Linked DNA regions of Mus musculus: regions 2, 3, 4, 5, 6 and 7 are each reported to be linked to region 1. Evidence: microRNA targets listed by miRTarBase, many of them from high-throughput screens and not tested one by one. Region 1 holds a microRNA gene; each other region holds the end of a gene's coding sequence. Distances are from middle to middle.

Region 1 (3,000 bases):
ATGAAGATTTAGAAATCATCCTGGGATTTATGTGATGGCCCCTATGTATGTGCCTGTGTGTGTTCTTGTGTGTGCATGTGCATGTGTGTATATGAATATACATATACATACACACATACACACGCACGTACACACACACAAACACACACATACAGGAATGGCACTTATCAATCCATTTGAATGGTATGTGACTTAGAGTTTTAGAGATTATGCAATAGGGGACAGTGAATGTTCTCACTCACCAGGTGTAAACGATTGACAGAGTCAGGAGGATCAGAAGTTCAAATTCATGCTTACCTTCAGTTAGAGATCATCCTGGTATTCATATGTATGTGCATGTGTGTTTACGTGTGTGTGCATGTGCATGTGTGTATATGAATATACATACACATACACACACACATACACACACATGCAACACACACATATGAATGACACTCACTGATCACTTTTAATGATATGTGACTTATAGTTTTAGAGATTATACAGTACTGGGCCAGTGAATGGTCTCACTCAGAAGGTGAAAATGCTTGCCAGAATCAGGAGAATCAGGAATTCAAATTCATGCTCAACTTCCTGAGAATTTAGAGATTAGTCTGTGATTCATGTGATGCCCCCCATGTATGTGCCTGTGTGTATAGTTGTGTGTGCATGTGCATGTGTGTATATGAATATACATATACATACACACACACGTATAAACGCAAGCACAAACACACACAGAGGAATGGCACTCGTTGATCCATTTGAATGATATGTGACTTAGAGCTTTAGAGATTATGTAGTATTGGGCCACTGAAACTTTTCATTCACCAGGGAAGGCTTGCCAGAGCATCAGTATCCAGAGTTCAAAATCATGCTTAACTTCATAATGAGTTAAAGATCAGCCTGGGATTCATGGGCTGTACCCTATATATGGGCAGGTGTGTGTCTTGTGTGTGCATGTTCATTTGTGTATATGAATATGAATATACACACACTTACACACTCATGCACACACACACACATCCATTTGAATGATATGTGTCTTAGAGCTTGAGAGTTTAGGCAGGACAGTGCCAGGGAGAGATCTCACTCACCAGGTAACAATGTTTGCCATACTCAGGAGGATTAGGAGATGAAATTCATGCTTAATTTCATGATGAGTTAGACATCAGCCTAGAATTCATGGGATGTCCCCCATGAATGTATGTGCATGTGTATATAGTTTTGTGTGCATGTGCATGTGTGTCTATTAATGTACATATACATACACACAAACATATACACGCATGCGCAGATACAGACACAGAAATGGCTTTCATCGATCCATTTGTATAATATGTAAATTTACTGGGCCAGTGAGACATCTCACTCACCAGGCAAAAACATTTCTCACAGTCAGGAGAATCAGGAGTTCAAATTCATAATAACTTCATGATGAGTTAGAGATCAGCCTTGTGTTAATGTGATGACCCCTATGTATGTGCATGTGTGTATATTTATGTGTGCATGAAAATGTATGTATATATGAATATACATATACATACATACCCACACAAACATGCACACACACACAAACACACCCACAATTGCCACTTACCAATCCATGTGAATGATATGCAACCTAGAGGTTAGAGATTGAGTATTCCTTTGCCCAAAAGAGCTCTCTCTCTCTCACCAGGTGAAAATGCTTGCAGAGTAAGGAAGAACAGCAGTAAAAATTTATGCTTAATTTCATGATGAGTTAGAGATCAGCCCGGGATTTGTGTGTTGCTTGCTCTATATGTGTGTATACTTGTGTGTGCATGTATATGTGTGTATATGAATATACATATACATACACACCCATATACACACGCATGCATGCACACACACAAATACATATACACAGGAATGGCACTCATCGATCCATTTGAATGATATGTGACTTAGAGTCTTATAGATTATGCAGTAGTGTGTCAATGAACGGTCTCACTCACCAGGTGAAAATGGTTGACAGAGTCAGGAGGATCAGGAGTTCAAATTCATGATTAACTTCAGTTAGAGATCATCCTGGCATTCATGTGATGCCACCCATGTATGTGAATGTGTGTTTACGTGTGTGTGCATGTGCATGTGTGTATATGAATATATGTATACATACACACACACATACACACTCATGTAACACACACACACACACACACACGAATGGCACTCATTTATCCATTTGAATGATATGTGACGTAGAACTATAGAGATTATGTAGTACTGGGCCAGTGAGTGCTCTCACTTTCTAGTTGAAAATGCTTGCCAGAATCAGGAGAATCAGGAGTTCAAATTCATGCTTACATTCATGAGGATTTAGAGATCAAACTGTGAATCATGTTTTGCCCCCCATGTTTGTGCATGTGCGTATAGTTGTGTGTGCATGTATATGTGTGTATATGAATATACATATACATACACACCCATATATACACGCATTCATATGAACACATCAACACACACGCAGGAATGGTATTCATCGATTTATTTTATTGATATGTGATTTAGAGCTTTAGAAATTATGTAGTACTGGGCCAATGAAACTTTTTACTCACCAGATATAAACGATTGGTATAGTCAGAAAGATCTGGAGTTCAAATTCATGCTTAACTTCATAATGAGTTAGAGATCAGCCTGGTATTCCTGGGATGTACCCCGTGTATGTGCATGGGTGTATAGTTTTGTGTGCATTTGCCTGTTTGTATATGAATATACATATCCATACATACAATCATATACAGGCACACAAAGACACACAGACATGAATGGCACTCAGTGATTCATTTGAATGATATGTCACCTCAAGTTTTGGAGGTTATGCAGTACTTGGCCTGAGAGGGGTCTCAGTCAGCAGGTGATAATGTTTACCAGAGTCAGTAGGCCCAGGGCCTGGCAAACGCAGAAGTGGATGCTCACAGTCAGCTATTGGATGGATCACAGAGCCCACATTGGAGGAGCTAGAGAAAGTACCCAAGGAGCTGAGGGGATCTG
Region 2 (3,149 bases), not on the chromosome of region 1:
CACATGTATTTTGTACACTGGGTCACCTCCTGATCAAAATCTTTTCTCCATTAAGTTAATTTTCTCAAGTATTTTGTCACAGTGTCAGAAAAGAAGAAAAGAAGAAAGAACACTGATCGACGCAAGCATCCTTAATCCTAGCTGATTTTCTCTATTTCTTAAGTTGAGCCTGGCAAGGAACCTCATAGCCCAGGCTTCATCTGAGAATTCCCAGTCATCTTACAAGGAGTGAAGAGATTAAGGAGAAACACTTATCTCCTTGTATTAGTTAAACCAGTATTAGTTACAAAATGTAAACAAAGACATGAGATATAGTCAAAAATAAAAAACTAAATCTATTCAAGATATCCATAGTAGTTTTGAAATGGGAAATGCATGGGCAATGCTTCTGTCTTTCTGTTACCTTCATGTTGATTTTCAACTTTCATCCAATTCTTATGAACATAAAGCTTACTACTATGGTCCTGATAATCATTCTAGAGCAAAAGTGAGTTGCCATTTAGTAGCTTTGACAGCCAGAGGGTAAACAGCAGCAGAAAGCCCGTGGAGAGGTTGCTGAGAGCAGCTGACAGGGCATGATCAAGATATCAATGGAGGTTGTTTCCCATGTCAGCGATTACAGGAAGTAATCAGCAGACTTTTCTCTGAGGGAACAAAGCATAATGTACTGGGGCTGGTACTCCCCATCGACAGAGAAAAACTTTGAACTCTTTTAACTCCTAGAAGTTGTGAGAAACAAAAGGAAAGAGAAAATTTTCACACACACACACACACACACACACACACACACACACACACACTGAGTAAATGAAGCAAAAGCCAGACTCTAAAAACTTCATACATACAAATATATACATACATACATACATACTGACAGAGAGAGAGACAGACAGATGGAATGGGTGGACCATAGCTCCACACATACACACATACACACATACACACATACACACATACACACATACATACATACACACACACACTCACACACACACACACACACACACACACATATATGTGTATATATATACATATATACATACATATGCACATGTATGTATGTAGCTGGTAGGTGACTAAAACAAAGTTTGAACTAGCAGGCTCAAAAGCATTTTGCACATATCCACACATATATACACAGTTGGTTGGAATAAGCTCCAACACATACCCACACAAGCTTTACATATAACATACATATAAATTTGATAGATGGAACAAAGTTCCAATTCACAAACTTTACACATATACATACATACAAGCACATGTATAAATATATACACACATACTTGGAGGTGGAAGAAGCAAAGTTTCAACATTATTTTTCCCATCTCTTATATATCCCAGAAAAACCTTTTAGACAGTATAAAATTACAGTTTTAGTACTTTCTATTTTCCTTCTAGTGACTGACTATGAAAAAATTTCCAGGATGTTATATAATATCTTTACAAGAAATAACATTTTATAGTACAGGTAAATAAAAGAAAGTATTCCCAAGAACCCATGTGCATTCATAACTAAGCAACTTTTTATAGATTTAAAAAGTGTGAGTAAGCAAAGGAGTTTTCTCAGCCAGCTCCTCTTACTCTCAGGCAGCAATTTGCACTTACGAAGGAAGGACTAATTATTGTGTTTATCTTTAAGAGTAGTCATACAAAAATCTCCAATGAGTCACAAATCTGAACTTTTATATAAAAGTCAGTCTTAACTACTTTAAATACTAAGAAGGTTTACCTAGACATCAGCAATTCTTATTAAATCATATCAGAAAGCTGAGGGCAAAACTAGACATAACAAGTCAATCAGGAGCAGTCCAGCCTCAGTGAGATTCATGTTAGCCAATGTTGCCATTTTTCTTGTTCTCTGACCATGAAATGTCCATAGTTTAATGAATATGTGTGTGCATTACAGAAGTTCAAAATGTTCACTAAGATTTTTTAAAACAGTATCAATAACAAACAATCAAAAAAAAAATCTTAACATAGGCTTACTAAAAACTTTGTTTTTCCAAATAAAGGTTTTAAGGATGGTGAACATTGCTGAAAATCCACATCTTTTTAAGTTCTTTCCTATGGTAGTACTTGGATCACTAATCTGCTCCAGCAACAATGCCTAAAAGATATCAGGCATTATTATTGTTTAATGTCAATGATACTCCCCAGTGAGGGGCTGGAAGCCACTTTAGACTTTTCATACAATCCTTAGATTAAGAGGGATGTGAAGGCAATGGGCAGGGCAAAAATTCATAACAGCATGAGGTACTCAGGACACATAGTCCTAGTAGTACTGCCTCAACTGAGGAGCATCCATCATGTCTGTGCTAACTGGTAGGGCTATTCTATGAGTTTAAAGCCATTTGTTGACCATACTACATGGCTCTGCATAGAGAATGGATAACAATAATGCAGGGTATTAATTTAAGCATTGCTCATGGTTAATGCTGCATGCTTACTATAGATCTCATGCCAATCATTATATTGTAATTATATTGTAAATGGTCTCGAAACTCCGTGTGTCATTCTGCATATGAATAAAATAAAATCCTCAAAGAAGAAAACATGTTGGGAGACTATGTTAACTTCTGACAAAAGAAATGATAGGGATAGAAAATAAGGGACTCAGTGGTCGCCAGAAAAGGCTTTCCTTTCATGGGTGACATGTTTAGACGCCAAAGACAGCAGGATTCACAGATAATTTCAGGAGACTATTGGCAGCTTGCACAAGCATGGGGATGGAGGAACCTGTGAGGAAGGAAACAAGAGTTCAGAACTGTGGGAGAGAAGAGGGAGGCTCTTTCCTCAGCCTCCCTCAGTCATTCCTACTTCCCATTTCAGTCTATATTTAGCTTCCTGTAGTAACCCCAGCTCTTCCCCCTTTCTTCTGATTCTGCTTTTGTCATTTCTGTCCACAGGAACACAGCAACAAGGATAAAATAAACATCCAGGACACTTCCTACATGTCTGGGGATAGTCTTATTCAGCTAGGCATCCACACCTGTGCTCCTTCCTTTTGCTCAGCTTATCCCAACTACCAAGTACATGCTTTGCCCTAATCCTGAAAAGGAAGAATCAGCTGGAGGAACAGACCATGTTCTGAGATAGCCTGGTTGGGCATCCATGGGGACTCTTGAGTGCTCTGCAACACAGAGAGG
Region 3 (3,149 bases), 110 Mb from region 1:
ACCAGTCTCAGCTTTCTCTTCTTATCCATCTTCTTCTTCCATGAAACTATAGATATCTGTAGCTTGCCTGTCCTTAGAACTGCCCTCTAGTTTCACAAGAATAAAAACACTTGTTCAAGCCAGACACAGTGACATATGCCTGTACTCTCAATATTTGGCGAGCAGAGGCCAGAGGATTGTTGAATCCAATTCTCTCTCCATCCCGAGTAACTGTCTTCTATAAACAAACTCACTACTTATTGACCACACTGATATAAAATTAGCTTTTCTCTCTATGTTAGAATTTAAGTTTAAATTATCTTAAGCTTTTGTGAGCCAGACAGCTCGAATGCTTCTATGTTGTATGTGTTAAGCTAAGAGTATTTTTTTTTCTGTTGCTTGGGATTCATATTGGAGCCACATTTAGTTGAAATTAGTTTATTTTTACAGCTTGAGTCATTAATAAAAGTAAAAATTACAAAACCACAAAGAATATTGATAGTGTCAAAATAATGAATATATTTACACATAAAACACACAAGAATTCATACAAGGAAAATGAATAGTTAAAAAAATTGAGATGAAATACAAATAAAGATTTTACTAACTTGGCTAGGTGATGTTCAAAACCTTAACACCACTTTTTTTTTTTTTTGGTTTTTGAAGACAGGGTTTCTCTGGTTTTTTTGTTTGTTTGTTTGTTTTGGAGTCAGGGTTTCTCTGTATAGCCCTGGCTGTCCTGGAACTCACTTTGTAGACCAGGCTGGCCTCGAACTCAGAAATCTGCCTGCCTTTGCCACCCAAGTGCTGGGATTAAAGGCGTGCGTCACCACACCCAACTTTAACACCACTCTTATATGGCACATTTGTAAAAGCGGGAGACTTTCAAGACAATAATCTATTGTTTTAGCAGGGCCCTTTTGGAGGTTGGGGGTAGGGTAAAGACCCTGCTTCCTTGTGAACATCTACTTTACTATGCACCAAGTCTTGTATTAAGAGCATGATGAGCAGGTTTGCTACACTCCCACAGTGCAGAATAAAACAGTAAGGAAATCCTAATGCACACGTTTGAAAGGAACTCAGATCCTAGCTTAAACATAAGGCGAAGTACTTACAGGACTGATGAGTGAGAAAATCTTGAGACAATTGTTACAATCTCTACTTTTAAGTATACTTGCCTCCATCTTAAGAATAACCCTAAAATAATAAAATAAAAATAACCCTAAGTAGGTAAAATATATTAGTATTTTCCATTACAAACCTCTAAACTTTAGCCAGATATGATACCACATGTCTGTGATTCCAGCACTAGGGCGGCAGAGGCAAGGAAAATCATGTGTTTGAGACCACCCTGGGAAACATAGTGAGTTCAAGTTCTGCCTTGGCTACATATAGGAAGTACCAAAACAAAGAATTCTAAACTTTTACACGAAGACTCCGTTTCTTCTCTGTTGGTCCTCAGCGTTTATTTCCTAACACAGCCAGGTTCAGTGAGTGATCTATCTGCCAAGAGGAGTTATGAGACTTGGTGTCATCACTCACAGCAGTGACTCAGTACAGCAACTCAGCTGTTACATGGTTTTTTTTGTTTTGTTTTGTTTTTTCGAGACAGTGTTTCTCTGTGTAGCCCTGGCTGTCCTGGAACTCACTTTGTAGACCAGGCTGGCCTCGAACTCAGAAATCCGCCTGCCTCTGCCTCCAGAGTGCTGGGATTAAAGGCTCGCGCCACCACACCCGGCTTTGTTACATTTGTTGAATGCTATCTACCATCAAAACTGTTAGGGACGAGGTGCTCTGCAATGCCAGGGACCAGTACCAAAGGTACTTTCTACTTGGTACGGACCAACATCCTAGGCTCTCAGAAGGAAAGAAAGTATCCCACACAAACTACACTGTACAGTCTGTTCAAACTGAGCCCTTCTCAGCCTCTTATTACATAAGTTTCTAGATGGGTCAGCCAAGGAACCACCACTTTACGAAGTCTTCAAAGGGTTACAGTCCTGGTATGTAGCTAATCTACAATCTCACAGGAATAATCACGACAGTTTCAGATTCAGGAACATTCAATTCAGAAATGGTTTTAAAAGATGTAATGCAGAATCATAGCACACAATCTTCTGTATGAAGAATGTTCAACTCACTTATAATAAACTATCATGCATATAGTTAATCTTTTTTGTTGTTAGTAAAACAATTTTAATTCAATGTGAGTGCTCTGCTGCACATACATCTGCAGGCCAGAAGAGGGCATCAGACCCCCTTATAGATGGTGGTGAGCAACCTTGTGGTTGCTGGGAATTGAACTCAGGACCTGTGGTAGAGTGGCCAGTGCTCTTATCCCCTGAGCCAACCCACCAGCCCCACAGTTATCATTTTTAAGCTTCACTGAAGAAAGAGAGTGAAAACATGTAAAGAAGTGAAGCCATATGTACTCCAATGTGCTCGCTCTCTCATGTGCGCGTGCACATACATACATACATACATACACACACACACACACACACACACACTTTCATTTTTCTATTTTTGTGTGTACAGGCACATACATATGATGACACAAGTGTGGACACCATAGGATCGAGTATCTGTGGGAATCAGTGATCCCCTTCTGCTAATGTGGATCCCAGGGACTGAACTCAGGCTGGAAGGCTTGAAGTAGGAGCTTTTTCCCACTGAGACATCTTTCTGGCTCCACTATTCCATTAATATTGCTAGCAAGAAAAACTATCAATATCCCTGTCACAACAATCTAGAAACGGACTTCTTTGACTACATGTAATTAATCCAAAGTAAAGATGACATCACTTGGCCCTGGAGGTTTCGGTGTGAGCCTTAGGAAAAAAAGGTAAAGGAGGCACTATGTCAAGTTCATGAAGATGGCGTTCTTCAGTTAGCATTTTGGGGATATACAAGGAAATTTCTGTTTGTAGTTCTCGCCACTTGAGTATATTCTCTGCCAGTTCTTCTGTCTTGTTCACCAAAATATCCATCTTGGCTAAAGCTTTGCTCTGTAACATTTGAAATAAAGAAAAATAGAAAAAAACCTGTCATTGATTACAGAAATAAATACTTCAAAAATTAGCATTGGATCTTTTTCTAGTCCTTTAGTGCTGGAGCGACAGCTTGGCTGTAAGAGTATACTTGCTGCTCTTCTGGAGCACCTAGGTGTG
Region 4 (3,149 bases), 20 Mb from region 1:
TTCATAGGTGTGGCTCCAGCTTCTGTGTCAGACGTGAGGGCTGAGGCCTTTGGGTACCCTGGTTCTAATACAGGCTGTGAGACCCTTTGGGCCTTGGGACGCAGAACCTTAGTGACTTGCAGTGTTTGGGGCAGGCTACTCTGGGTGTCTGGTACACCATGGTCCCTGGCCCTGGTGCCATTCCATGGTAACGAGTCTCTGGGAAGGTGGTGGGTGTGGCAAGTGGAGCAAAGTGGCTGCTGCTCCAGGAGCATGACCTTGCTTTCGCTTTCCGCTTTCCAGGATTACCCCATCACAGACGTCTGCCAGATCCTACAGAAAGCCAAGGAACTCCAAGACTCGAAGTAACGTGGTAGCAGGGTCCCAGCTTTGGAAGAGCAGCCACTGCGCTTGCTCCACACCCTTGTTTTGGGGACACAAAGGAGCCTGTGAGAAAGCCAGCCTGAAGGGAAGCTACAGTCCTGGCCAGCTCCAGGTCTTCCCAGCCTGGTTCCCATGGTCCAGGGTGCTCCTGGAGCACGCCGCGATGCGCTCCTTCCCAGTGCTCAGCCCTGCCACACTCCCTGCACCTCAGCCCTGGGACCCTCCACCCAGACTGCTCAGCAGGGCCGGAGCTCCTGAACTGGCTTCCTGGGGCTGGGGCCATTTGGGGCCTAGGAGGCTGACAGGGTCCTGCCATGCCTCTGCCCAGTAGCTCCTCACCCCTGTGCTTTCATCTTCCCTGAGTCCTGGTCAGGGGAGGCAATTAGCTAATGGGCCAGAAACAACTTCTGAGTGTTGGTGCTCAGACTGCCTGGGGAAGCACCCCAGAAGAGCTGAGTGACTGCCAGTTCTAGGGCCACCGTTTGTCCCTGTCCGGTGTGTTTGCTTGTGGCCGGTAGGGTTGTCTCCCAGGTCTCTGCTTTGTGTGTGTGTGTGTGTGTGTGTGTGTGTGTGTGTGTATGTGTGTGTGTATGTATGTATACATGTGTGTTCACACATGCCCTGGCAGTGGGGTGAGGGTATGTGGGAACCCTCTAAGGCCCTGCTTCCCCTCTGTGTCTACCTCTGCCTGTCCCTTTTCTTCCTTTGCCAGAGGCGTGTGTGGCTCCTGCTGTCTTTCTTTTGTCTGTCCTCTTTACCCTGGCGCTCTCCTCCCCTCTGCTCCCTGAGGCCAGCATTCAGGAGTGTAGCTTAGTGAGAAAGCCCTGGAGGCCAACTTTATTGGCATCCTGTTCCCATCCCCAGCCTGAGGCCTCCAGGTCCTCTATGTCAGAGCAGGAATCCCCAGTACCTGCTCCAATGGCAGCCTGTGATGCTTTGAGCCTCTCGCCCATTTTCTACTCAAGAATGGAGAAAGGAGGGATGGGGAGAGCCTTCAGTTGGAGAGTAAGATACCCTGGCTGCTGTGTGCCTGGGAGTTGCCATTTCAGGAGTGATGTCATCTCTTTGATGGCCATGTTCCCATCTGGTGTGTGTAGTTCTCATCAAGGGCAAGGGACCAAAGAAAGCTTCTCTGGGTCCAGGGTGGCTAAACTGGAAGGCCTGGAGCTTCACAGTACCAGAGGGCTACCTCTGCCATCTGCCCCCATGGGAGGCGGAGCGGGGAGGCGGCGGGGGGGGGGGGGGGGGGGGGAGGCTTCGGAGGTGCTGGCCTTCCTGGTCATGTGCTTGATCTATCTTCTGACTTTGGGGCTGGGTTCCCTGAACCCTATAGACTTTTCTGACCATGTTTCTTCCGGAGGTCAGGTGGCTTGAGTCCTGAAGGCAGGTTGGCAGCAAGGGCTCTTAACCTTCTCCAGAGACTGGCCAGCAGGAGTGAGGCTCCAGTAGCTGGCACCTGAAGCCTTCCTGAGAGCAGAGGGCAGGGCTGCCTCCTTCCCAGGCCATTGCTTTAGCCAGGTTGGGTTGAGTGCTGCTGGGACTCTACCTGCCTTTTTACTACCTTCTCTCTCAATACACAACACCTGGGACGTATTTTACTATTTATTTGGACACAGGCTAGCTATTTATTGCAGAGTGGCAAGTGACCTGGGGAGGAGTGGCCAGGATGCTAAAGGAGTTGGAGAATTCAAATATGGATTGTCTTATTCCCCAAGGTTAACCCTGACATCCTCTCCCCGTTCCTGCCTGAGAGGGCTGCCAGCTTTACCCTAGAGCCGAGTATAAGGGAGGCCATATACACTCCCGCCATCTTGACCGCCCCCAGACCTAGGACTTGGTAGCTGGTAGCTCAGCCCCAGTACTGCTCCCTTTGTTGACTGGGACGCAGCAAATGCTGCCCAGGACGCGGATGCATTCATTCCTTCTTGCCTGCCTCCCCCACCCCACCCCTTGCCCCGTTTCCTGGGACCATGCTACTGGAATCACTGCATCTGATTTGTTTCTGTGGGAGACCTGCATCCTGTGCCCACCACTTGGTCCTTGAGATGAAGGCCAAGGACATGGAGACTTTGTCTTGGGTAGGGTGGCTCCGCAGTTGGACGCTGCCTGAGGGAAGGATCTGCCCTTGATTCTTAAGGGGGAACCCCGAGCCTGAGCTCCTGCAGCTCCCGGGAGCTCAGCAGGCCAGGGCTGTTGATGAGTCGTCCTTAATAAACTGTGCTCTTTACCATGCGTGTCGGTGCTGTGCTGGCTGGACTTGAGACTTTGGAGGAGAGGAAACAGTTGGAGCAAGGACAGAGCCAGAGTCCCTTAGAGTGTTCTAAGACAGACCAGGAGATGCTTGCCAAGACACTTGCAGTTCGGCTGCGGCCAGCCAGAGACGGCCTTAGGAAGGAGGAGGTGCGCCTGGGCACACATTATTATTAATCTTCTTACATTATATTTCTTTGTGTGCAGCCTGCGGGTGAGGGAGTCTAGCTGGCATTGGTTCCCTCTTGCTATCATGTGGGTCCCAGCAAACTCAGGGCTGCTGTGAGCACCTTTACCCACTGAGCCAGCCATCTCACGCACTTCCGGCAGCGCATTGTTCCTTAGGTCATTTAATACTATGTTTTATTTAGTTTTGCTATGTAGTTCAGGCTACTCTTGTTCATCCTGTAGAGCCTCTGAGGCCAGGGTCTCTGCCTCCTGGGTGTTGGGGTTAAAGGTGTGTACCAAGCACACTGCTAAAAACACAAGTATTTCCCTCTGCCAACTGTAAACTCTGAAAATGATAAATGCCACTT
Region 5 (3,000 bases), not on the chromosome of region 1:
TGAGCTTCTGAGGCTCCGACGGCATATGCTATATATTAACAAACTTGGTTAGTTTAACGAATGGGCTTAAATTGGATTAAGTATTTGTTTTAAAAACAAATGTTTGAATGCTGCTAAAATATAACTTCTTATACAATGCCATCACATTTTGGCTTGGTTTTTTTTTAACATCAAAAGCTAATAAATAATAGAAAACATTAATAAAATAAATACTAAGTGAGAACACTTAGTAGTATCAGATAAGAACAGTGATAAGAATAAAAATATAAAGAAAACAATACACACCTTTTGGTAGAAAAGTCAGAAAAAAAAAGGACATTAAATTTAAAGAGCTGGGTATGTTGTGGGAGAAAAGCTAAGAACTTTGCTTGTGATGTGATCATGACTCAGCATCCATCAGTCTCCTTGGGCTAGACCCCTGGGACTGCCAGTGGGGGCCACACAGAACACAAGGTCCACCACCAGTCTGGAACCCTGCAGAGCCCCGCACATACTCCCAATTAACGTCATTGCTTCTGAAGGCTTCTGAGTCTCAGTGGTAATGCATGGGTGAGCGGCAAGAGCTCAGCCTGGGAACGTCCTGGGGGCCTTCTGGCAGGAGCCCGACTCAGAACGGAGGCAGTCAAACTCAAAGCGCTCAGCTGGGCCTAACACCTAGAAGCCCAGCAATGAGGAGGCTGAGGGAGATCATGATTTTTGAGTCTAACCTAGGCTACATAGCAATTTCCAGGCTAGCCTGGGCTACATAGGGAGTTCCAGGCCAGTTAGGTTAACTAGTAAGATCTTGCCAGAAACAAAAATCAAGATGGTGTTAAATGAACACCAGAGTTGGAGGTCTAGGCCTCGGCAGTGGGCTCAGGGGAAGTGGGCATTGAGGCTTATAACCTTCTGTAGAGGTGAGCAACAGTGGTTCCTCTTCACTCTATAGAGTCACGCGAACCCATCCTGGAAGCCAGCATGGTGGGGGAACTTGTCCACTGTGCAGAATCCAGAGTTCTAGATGCATGAGGCTCCTTTCTGCCCTGCCTCTTCTGCCACTGTGGCCGTGCAGAGAGCTGGTGTGAATTGGTGGAACAGGGAAGGATGGACCTTCCCCAGCGAAAGTGAATCTCAGCGTGGAGACAAGCACTGGCCTGACACATGCTGACTCTCAAGCACGCCAGACAGTCATGTGGAAGCTAGGCGCCTGTCCTTATGATCCCGACTTCCATGGCCCCAGCAGAGCCATTTGGGCCACTGCTTCTTCTCTCTTCCTCTGTGGCGCCTAGACCCTCAGGACCAGCTGAGGGAGGTCACGGGGAAGAGGAGCTTGCGAGAGTCCTCAGAAGCAGCACCTCCCTTGGCATCCTATGTGCACAGGCTGGCATCCTATGTGCACAGGCTGGCATCCTATGTGCACAGGCTGGCATCCTATGTGCACAGGCTGGCATCCTATGTGCACAGGCTGGCATCCTATGTGTACAGGCTGGCATCCTATGTGCACAGGCTGGCATCCTATGTGCACAGGCTGGCATCCTATGTGCACAGGCTGGCACAGGGCTCAGGAAGCACAGACATCCAGAGACCTGAAGGCCTTAATAGGGGCAGGGGTAGCACACAGAAGATACAGTACGTGGTCGGCCACAGTGCCAGCTGAGGGATCAGGTCACACAGGTGAATCAGATGCTGTGTGAACGGGTCCAGGGGAGCACAGGGCCTGGGGAGAAGGCAAAAAGCTGGATGGGGACAAGCATGCCATGCTTGGTGGGCCTCAGTCACTGTGACAGAGGAACCAAGTACAAGAGTCACCAAGACTACAGAACTTCAAGGAGGCCACAGGGATGAGAGGCAAAGGCCTCAGAGTCTAGTCAGCTCTGAGAAGAACTCTGGAAATGGAGCTGACTGGCCAAGGTGGTCAAAGAAAGTCTCTCCGGAGGCCACCTTCAGGTGTGGACTCGCAGCGAGGCGCAGCAAGAGCTTCAGGCTCTGCAGAAACACAAAGACAAAAGACAGTTCTCCAGCCCTCATTCCATCTCTAGACTAGGGGGAGCTGCAGAACTCACAGACCCTGCCCTTCCCAATCCTACCCTACACTACAGCAGCAAATGTACCCCTCTGAGGGGAACCTCAGAGGAGCTGCAGGGTCAAAGCACCAGCAGGGGGGCACCATGGGCCCACATTTGGCAAGAAGATTCATTTGCCCTTTTCTTATAAGGGGCTGAGGCTCAGGGGCATGGAAATGTAGCCTTGGCAATTGTGGGTACAGGACACCTGGCAGAGCCAGGGCCCTGGGTGAGGGCAGAGGGTGTCTCTTACAGAGATGCTAGACAGGGCTGAGGGTTCAAGAGCTCAGAAGCAGGAGGGCTCAGGAATCCTAACCTAAGTCCAAGCCAGGGCCAGGCCTGGCGTGAGAGACTAACAGCCCCACTGCACAGCAAACCTTTCCACTTTCTGGGGGTGACGTCTCACTCACTCCCTGCTCCCTGAAGAGGCAGCCGGGCCTCTGTCCCATCACCCCACAATGTGGCTGTCACCATCAGTGCGGGCCCGTCATTCGGTGTCAGGGTCTTGGAAGCCCCAAGCCTCCACAGCTGCGATGAGGAAGTTCTCAGAGCAGAGGGGCTGGTTGTTGAATGTGTCACAGTGTCCAGTGCGCCCTCGATTCAGGTCCCCATCAACGTAGAGTGCTTGACCACCTCCTCCCCCTGTGGGATGTGCAGGGGAACAGATGTCTTTCTGCTCCAACAACCACCCTTCCCTAGATACCCCATCGTTTTTGTCCTTGAAGGGTCTGCTAAATAGTAATCGCAGGAGAGAGATCCCTCGAACTACAGAGGTTCCTCTAGAAGCACACATTTATCTAGGTCTGACTCCCTACCTAACGCTTGCTTGCTAGCCCTTAGTTTCTATCTCTACCCCAAACAACCCAGGTCCTTTTCCTTTGCTTAACTGAGATGTCTACTACTGGTAGTCAACAAGGACTGGGCACAGAGGCTTCAGCTACCCACAAGTCCCCTCCGA
Region 6 (3,000 bases), not on the chromosome of region 1:
TTTGGAAACAAGAGGCCTGTTTGGTCATAACCTAATTCTTTGAATAACTGTTTTTTGCATTTCAATCACTCCCTGTAATCCACGATGAAAATGCAGTCCTGTGGTACTCAACAAGATTTTGTGGGTTATGTACATTAAATGAAAAATATCTTGTCAATATATTCTTTTCTGTCTTTATTTTACAGGTAATACTAATAGAATTCTTACCAAAATACCCCATATTCCGACCCGACTGAGGAGTTTTCTTCAGTCTCTTCTGTGTTATCTGTCATTTCCTACCCTTAGTGCCTTGTAGATGATCTTGGAATGGAGACAGTCTCCTTCGCTGTGTTCAATTTATTCTTTACAACAGTAGACTATTCTTCTCACTCTTTTATTTGTGTTAATTTAAGAAAATTTGCACATCTTTTTTGTTATTAAATGAGGCTTGTGTTTTGCACTCTCAATTTTTAAATAAATGCAAACATATACCCGTATTTATCGTTAACACTAAAAACATCAGTGCTGGTGTTTAAAGAAACAAAACAAAAACCTTGTTCTGAGCATGCTGCCTTATGATTTTCATACTCACTGTTTCTAAATATGCATCATTTTTCTAGGCTATTTAATGCTCTGTAATCCCTTACTGGACACACCCAAATAAGCTTTTGGTAGCTTTTAGAAATGGTTTTACTCTGCTCTTAAAGAAAATGCAATTAATAGCACTGGTTTCCTCCTGCACTTTGCTAAATTGTCACTTATGTTAGTGGATAAAATATTTAAACTCCTAAAGACTTGTAAATATTGTCTCTTTGCATAATGTAAAATGTGGTATGCCATGGTTTACAGAATGTATTATTATTATCAATGTATTGCCAACAATTCCACATAGATTTTACTATGAATGATGTTTGTAAGCATCCTGTTGAATGTAGAGACCTTTAACATGCTGTTTTGTGGCAAAGCCAAACTGAGTATGTTAAATTTCAGGTGTGGGGCGGAGTGCCCTTCCTAATAAGTGGATTAAAATTGAAATCATTACTTCAGATCTTAGGCATCACACCTGAGACCAAGAACCTTCTTTTCCATTTACTTCACTGTTTTCCATTTCTCCTCCACTCCACCCCCATCTTACAGCCTCACTAGCTCTCATTTCCTTTCCCTTCTTTGAAGGTACACAAGATTTCAGTCTTTAAATGTCTTAAGAGCTGGGCACATACCGTTAATCAATCCCAGCACTCAGAAGACAGAGAGAGGCCACAGATCTCTTTGAGTTCAAGACCAACCTGGTCTACAGTATGAGTTCCAGGACAGCCTGGTCTACAGTATGAATTCTGAGACAGCCAGGGCTACACAGGGAAACCCTGTCTTAAAAAAAAAACAAAGTGTCTTGAGATTTTTGCCTCTTATGTGAGGTATCAAGGCCTCCGTGAAAGCCATGGCTTATCCTCTTCTGAAGTTCCTGTATCCTACATTGAGAAAGAGCACAGAGAAGCTCTACCTACATAGTAGGCTAGTCAGAGTTGAGAAAACAGTTTCAGCCGTCTGATTGGGGATCTTTTTTAAACACTTATAAATTATTGAGGAAAGACAAGTAAAATTTAGATAAAATTGTTTTCGTTTGTAAATTGGCCACATTTTTTGATTGATACATGCATATTTCTCTGGTTTTTTCCATAATTAAATTGAGTGATGTTACTACTTTGATTCTACTATAATTTGAAATTATAATATAATATAATAAATGTTTTTCTATCACATTAATTCAACTGCAAGTGAATGCCTGTATATGGGCATTGTTTGTAATTTGCAGTGACTGACATACATTCTATTCTCTTTGTCCTTCTATTCTTAACTGCTTTTAAGTAAGCTCATCTCAGTGAACGGAACAAGCTTAACAAGGTCAAGCCTTTTTAAGGCACTTTTAAGAGTTATGCCTAATCTGAAATCCTTAGTCCTTGGTGGAAAGAGGAAGGACATCCTGTTTGATATGTGGCTCTAATGGTTTGCACAAAATCTTTTTGAGCCACCCAGCCACCCCAGATCTCTAAGTTCTAATATATTATGTATGCCTGCAAATATGTCTGCCTGCTGCAAAATTGAAGGTGTATTTTTATAGATAAGAAGGAAGCCTTTGAAAATGCATACCCAATGTCTTGTTTTATAGCTAAGGTCAGGGAAAAACATATCTATGTCTTATGTTTCAGCTAATGTCATCAGATTTATGCTTCATACTGTGGTGTTTTAATACCAAAATTGATTTCCATCATAATATAGAATTTTTAATTCTCACTGGTAAAAAAATTACTTGTGAATGTCAATCCTCAGCAATCTTACATTTCGTCTGTAGCCTTAGAATTTGACCAAATAGTCATCATAGGAATTTTTTTCTGCCATGTACAAATCACACTTCATTTTGTTCAAAAAAAAAAAATCAAGAAGTGTAATGAATTGTTTCCATGAAACAAATATTAAGACAGGAATAGATTGTATATGAAAGTGACCAAGTATCATTCAAGTTACAATAGTATTTGTCATTTAAAATATTTATCATTACATGTCATATCAATTTGAACTCCTCACTAATAACTGTATTATTTTATTGTTCAGTATATTGATTGACAGGTGATAGTTTTCTCGTTACTTTTCTTTTTTATGTGACTGGTAGTTTGAGTGGGGAAGAAGTTCCTTTTCATTGAAATTAGTCACAGCAAATGCTAACCCTTCCCCTCCAAACTTCTTTTCTTTTAACCTCAGGATAGAATGTAACTTGTATTTTTCTATTGGGTTAGCCAAGTATTTTGTGAAAGTTATTTTTGACTAAAAAAGAGAATAATTTTGTTGATATATAATACTCCTTTATTACCATGGTAGTTTCCAAAGGAAAAAAAGTTTTGAAATAACATTTTGCCAAAGCTTCTAAATCTCTATAGGCTTTGAGATTTCAACTTAAAGGACTTTTTTTTTTTTTCTTATTCTGAAAAGCCTGGCATGGTGGTTTATACCCCATAAATTAGTGAA
Region 7 (3,149 bases), not on the chromosome of region 1:
ACCAGGTCCATCAGCACAAGCCGTCCGCTCTCGGCGTCTTCTTTAATGCAGCGGTAAAACTGTGACCCAAGTGATCATTTCTTACACTTAGCTACACTATATTATAGCCACAAGTGAATTTAAAATATTTTTCTGTGAAAGAGCCAAGACTTTGGGCGTTTGGTTGCTTTTTATTCTTTTGAGTATTTGAGGGAAGGAAATTAGACAAAGGGCGTATCTTGATGTTCATTGTGGGCTTTTCTCCCTTAAACACACACACATACCATACACACCCACATACCCACATATACACCCCCACACATACACACACCACACATACACTCACACCACACACACATACATACCATACACACATACCCACATACACCCACACCCACATATACACACACCACACACACATATACACACACACCACATCCCCACATACACATACTAGCCCCCCACATACACACATAAACACACATACCATATACATACATACATATATATATGTATGTATATATATATATATATATATATCACCACATACACACACCACATATATACACTCCACACACACACATATACACACACATTGCACATACACACACATATATACACACACATAAACACACACTGCACACAAACATACATACCACACCAACACCCATACACGAAACCACACACACATACGCACACCATTCCCCCCATACAGACACACATACATACACACACACACACACACACACACACACACACACACACACCACCCAAAGATACTCAGACAGTAAGATAGTAGATCAGGTCAGATAGTATTCTTACCCCTTGGTAGCTATGCTTTTCCAATATTCCATAAGCATAGGATTTGTCAATGGAACCACTTATATTTCAACAAATAATCTCTTGGAGGGATTGTGAAGTAGCCTGTCAATCAACTGTGCAGTTTACACCCTTCTTCTGTGTATATAAGAAGACTAAACAGGAGGTTGTGCTATGGTAAAAATAAAATTCATTTTCCTACAAACTCAGAAGACACTTGAAGAATGAATTCCACTATGTCTTGGACAGCCATTTAATTTTTTTCTTTTTCTTTTTTACTGACTTTAAATAACTCAAGCCACACCACAATAACACTTTGTCTTTGCTGTCTGAATACCTGGACTGTATCTGCAGCTCCACAATGGCGCCCTGCATAATGAATAGTTCTACTTAATGAAAGGGCATGGGACATTATCACTAATTAAAAAGATGGGAAAGAACTGGTGGTATGAGACACTTTATTCACAAGTCCTGTCCTGTTTGTAGAGAATGCCTGTTCCCTCACGACATTAGCTGCTGCCCTCAAGCCTGTCATTAGACACACTAAAGTCCCTTTGGCACGATGTAAAGAAGAGTCTAGTATTTCTTACTCTTCTGAGCGATACAAGTTTCTAAAATGAAAGTCTATAGTACTACTTGATCGTGGATTTGAATGGAGAGAGGAGTCCTTCATATTCCAAGACTTGCAGCCGGTGGGGTGGAACTGTTCTGTGTTCTCAAAACATGGGCAGCTCTTGGCACTGCCTCCACCCCCTGCCCCCAATTTCTCACTTTCTTAAAGAATCTAGGGATAGTAGTTAGGCAAGAGAGCCCCAGGAGGAGGCGTGATGTCTACCCAGAGGACCCTGACATCTCTACCCTGACTGGAAGTTTCCTCCTACTGTCAGCCCCACATCAATCCAAGTGTCTAGTCCTCCTATAAACGAGAGGCTCTGACTATCTTAGATTTGCAAGAGGAACTCGGGACTTTATCCTACATTCTAAGGAAAGGGGAAGTAGAACTCAAAGAGAAATAGCTTGTATTATCAGTTGCTACTGAAGAAAAAGTAAGGGTATCTTTAAATTTCTCTCATTAGCATCTTTTTGTTTTAATAACACAGTTTTTGGGTTTCAATTTTGTTCTTTTGGACATTTATGTACATTAGAAAGTGTTATAGCTGTTTTTGTTATGAAACAGCAAATTGCCTGAAGCAGAGAGGTTCAAACAATGTTGCACATTTCCACATCAAATACTGATTTCAAGCTAGTAATGGGCATTGTGAATTCAGTAACTCATCAGCCCGATCCTAGCCCATACCAACCACCATTCAGGATTAAAGAGTCAGGAAGAATACATTGCCACATAATCATAATCTATAAAAATACTGCCTAGAGTACACTAAAAAACTCTCAATAAATAAATAGCAGACATTTGCTTTATGAAAATCATTGGAGATGTGCTCTTCGGAAGCATGTCCATACTTTCAGGCCTTTTACAAATCACAAAGTCTGACAAATGACAGAGACTATAGGTCAGGTTAGGTTTCTGATAAAAAAGTCTTTTGACGTGGGTATCTGTAAAGAAATGCAACTAAAAGTGGCGGGCTGCTCCCGGTTCAGTTTCGAAGGCAATACTCCCAGAGACCTGGGGTGTTCCTAGCCATGGCAGTGTCACTGAATCAAGGCTTCAGTTGCTCTTTCCAAGAGACAACACTCATTAGCATGTAAGCGTTCTGGAATGTTCTCTGGCCGCTGGGATCTGTCCATGGTGCTGAAGGACGCCGCTCTTCTCGGTCACCCATTCAGTTCCCGTTTCCCTGCCTAGAGTTTAAGTCCTTCCTCTCCTGCCACACAGCGTGGACACCGCTGTCCACCATGTTCACCCCTCAGAACACAGGCTTACCCTCGGCATGATTCACAGCGGGTGATTCTGGTTTCCAGTCTGGTTGGAAAAAGTGAATGTTGAATGTCCGTGCCCAGTTCTTAAACACCCGTTTCTCTGTAATGAAACGGTGATGACTGCCCTTGCGTCCTCGCTCGTGAGAGAGGTACATTGTACATTCATCGGGTCCTGAAGGCTCATAGTAATGATAGGGTACGGAAGGATGCTTTGGGTCCCTGTGGGAGGAAAGTGGGACAACTGTTAAAGCAAAAGAGAGGAAAATAATGCAAACACCCAAGCCATACCCGACATGGAACACACTTTTTCAGTGTTACTGCAATAAGCTGATAAACACAAACCATATTTCGTATTTCCTCATCAAAAGAACGTCAGCTGATGGGTTTTTGTTTCTTTCTGGTGTTGAAGTAATAAGAAAATGGAAAGGTTTTGAGGATGTAAAGCAAGCATAGCATCAAACAGAGAGCTTAGG

What was found. Region 1 holds the annotated microRNA mmu-miR-466f-3p (CAUACACACACACAUACACAC, at 2,121-2,141, shown strand). A microRNA usually pairs through its seed, bases 2 to 8, with sites in the 3' UTR of a target mRNA and lowers its output. Matches are read on the target gene's strand: a 7mer-m8 pairs with bases 2 to 8, a 7mer-A1 pairs with bases 2 to 7 and ends in A, and an 8mer does both.
Region 2: the mRNA of Vwa5a is a reported target of mmu-miR-466f-3p. Seed matches in the 3' UTR shown: 8mer at 1,274-1,281 and 8mer at 1,133-1,140.
Region 3: miRTarBase lists Haus2 as a target of mmu-miR-466f-3p. Seed matches in the 3' UTR shown: 7mer-m8 at 2,462-2,468.
Region 4: miRTarBase lists Tbc1d13 as a target of mmu-miR-466f-3p. Seed matches in the 3' UTR shown: 7mer-m8 at 937-943 and 7mer-m8 at 949-955.
Region 5: the mRNA of Tbc1d24 is a reported target of mmu-miR-466f-3p. Seed matches in the 3' UTR shown: 7mer-m8 at 278-284.
Region 6: the mRNA of Chic1 is a reported target of mmu-miR-466f-3p. The part of its 3' UTR that is shown has no 7-base or 8-base seed match.
Region 7: the mRNA of St6galnac5 is a reported target of mmu-miR-466f-3p. The part of its 3' UTR that is shown has no 7-base or 8-base seed match.

The regions. Positions count from the first base shown.
Region 1 is chr2:10,466,609-10,469,608 of GRCm38, forward strand. It overlaps Mir466f-2 (microRNA 466f-2), which reads left to right and starts at 2,067; the gene lies at 2,067-2,160. The region is part of intron 10 of Sfmbt2 (Scm-like with four mbt domains 2); the gene reads left to right. It overlaps Mir466m (microRNA 466m), which reads left to right and starts at 55; the gene lies at 55-138. It overlaps Mir466f-1 (microRNA 466f-1), which reads left to right and starts at 336; the gene lies at 336-429. It also overlaps Mir669f, Mir669e, Mir669b, Mir669d and Mir669l.
Region 2 is chr9:38,741,284-38,744,432 of GRCm38, reverse strand. It overlaps Vwa5a (von Willebrand factor A domain containing 5A), which reads right to left. Exons shown (of 20, transcript NM_172767.3): 20 at 1,096-2,739. The coding sequence ends at 2,660. Among named protein-coding and RNA genes, the nearest start is that of Olfr920, 9.9 kb to the left of the region's middle.
Region 3 is chr2:120,618,813-120,621,961 of GRCm38, reverse strand. Haus2 (HAUS augmin-like complex, subunit 2) reads right to left here. Exons shown (of 6, transcript NM_025475.3): 6 at 402-2,987. The coding sequence ends at 2,781. Among named protein-coding and RNA genes, the nearest start is that of Stard9, 8.7 kb to the left of the region's middle.
Region 4 is chr2:30,149,418-30,152,566 of GRCm38, forward strand. Tbc1d13 (TBC1 domain family, member 13) reads left to right here. Exons shown (of 12, transcript NM_146252.3): 12 at 283-2,597. The coding sequence ends at 348. Among named protein-coding and RNA genes, the nearest start is that of Gm31080, 12 kb to the right of the region's middle.
Region 5 is chr17:24,178,712-24,181,711 of GRCm38, forward strand. It overlaps Tbc1d24 (TBC1 domain family, member 24), which reads right to left. Exons shown (of 8, transcript NM_173186.4): 8 at 1-2,684. The coding sequence ends at 2,530. Among named protein-coding and RNA genes, the nearest start is that of Atp6v0c, 11 kb to the left of the region's middle.
Region 6 is chrX:103,389,275-103,392,274 of GRCm38, forward strand. It overlaps Chic1 (cysteine-rich hydrophobic domain 1), which reads left to right. Exons shown (of 6, transcript NM_009767.2): 6 at 186-3,000. The coding sequence ends at 236. Among named protein-coding and RNA genes, the nearest start is that of Tsx, 24 kb to the right of the region's middle.
Region 7 is chr3:152,818,848-152,821,996 of GRCm38, forward strand. St6galnac5 (ST6 (alpha-N-acetyl-neuraminyl-2,3-beta-galactosyl-1,3)-N-acetylgalactosaminide alpha-2,6-sialyltransferase 5) reads right to left here. Exons shown (of 5, transcript NM_012028.5): 5 at 1,038-2,895. The coding sequence ends at 2,664. It also overlaps a transcript of Pigk not described here. Among named protein-coding and RNA genes, the nearest start is that of Gm40181, 64 kb to the left of the region's middle.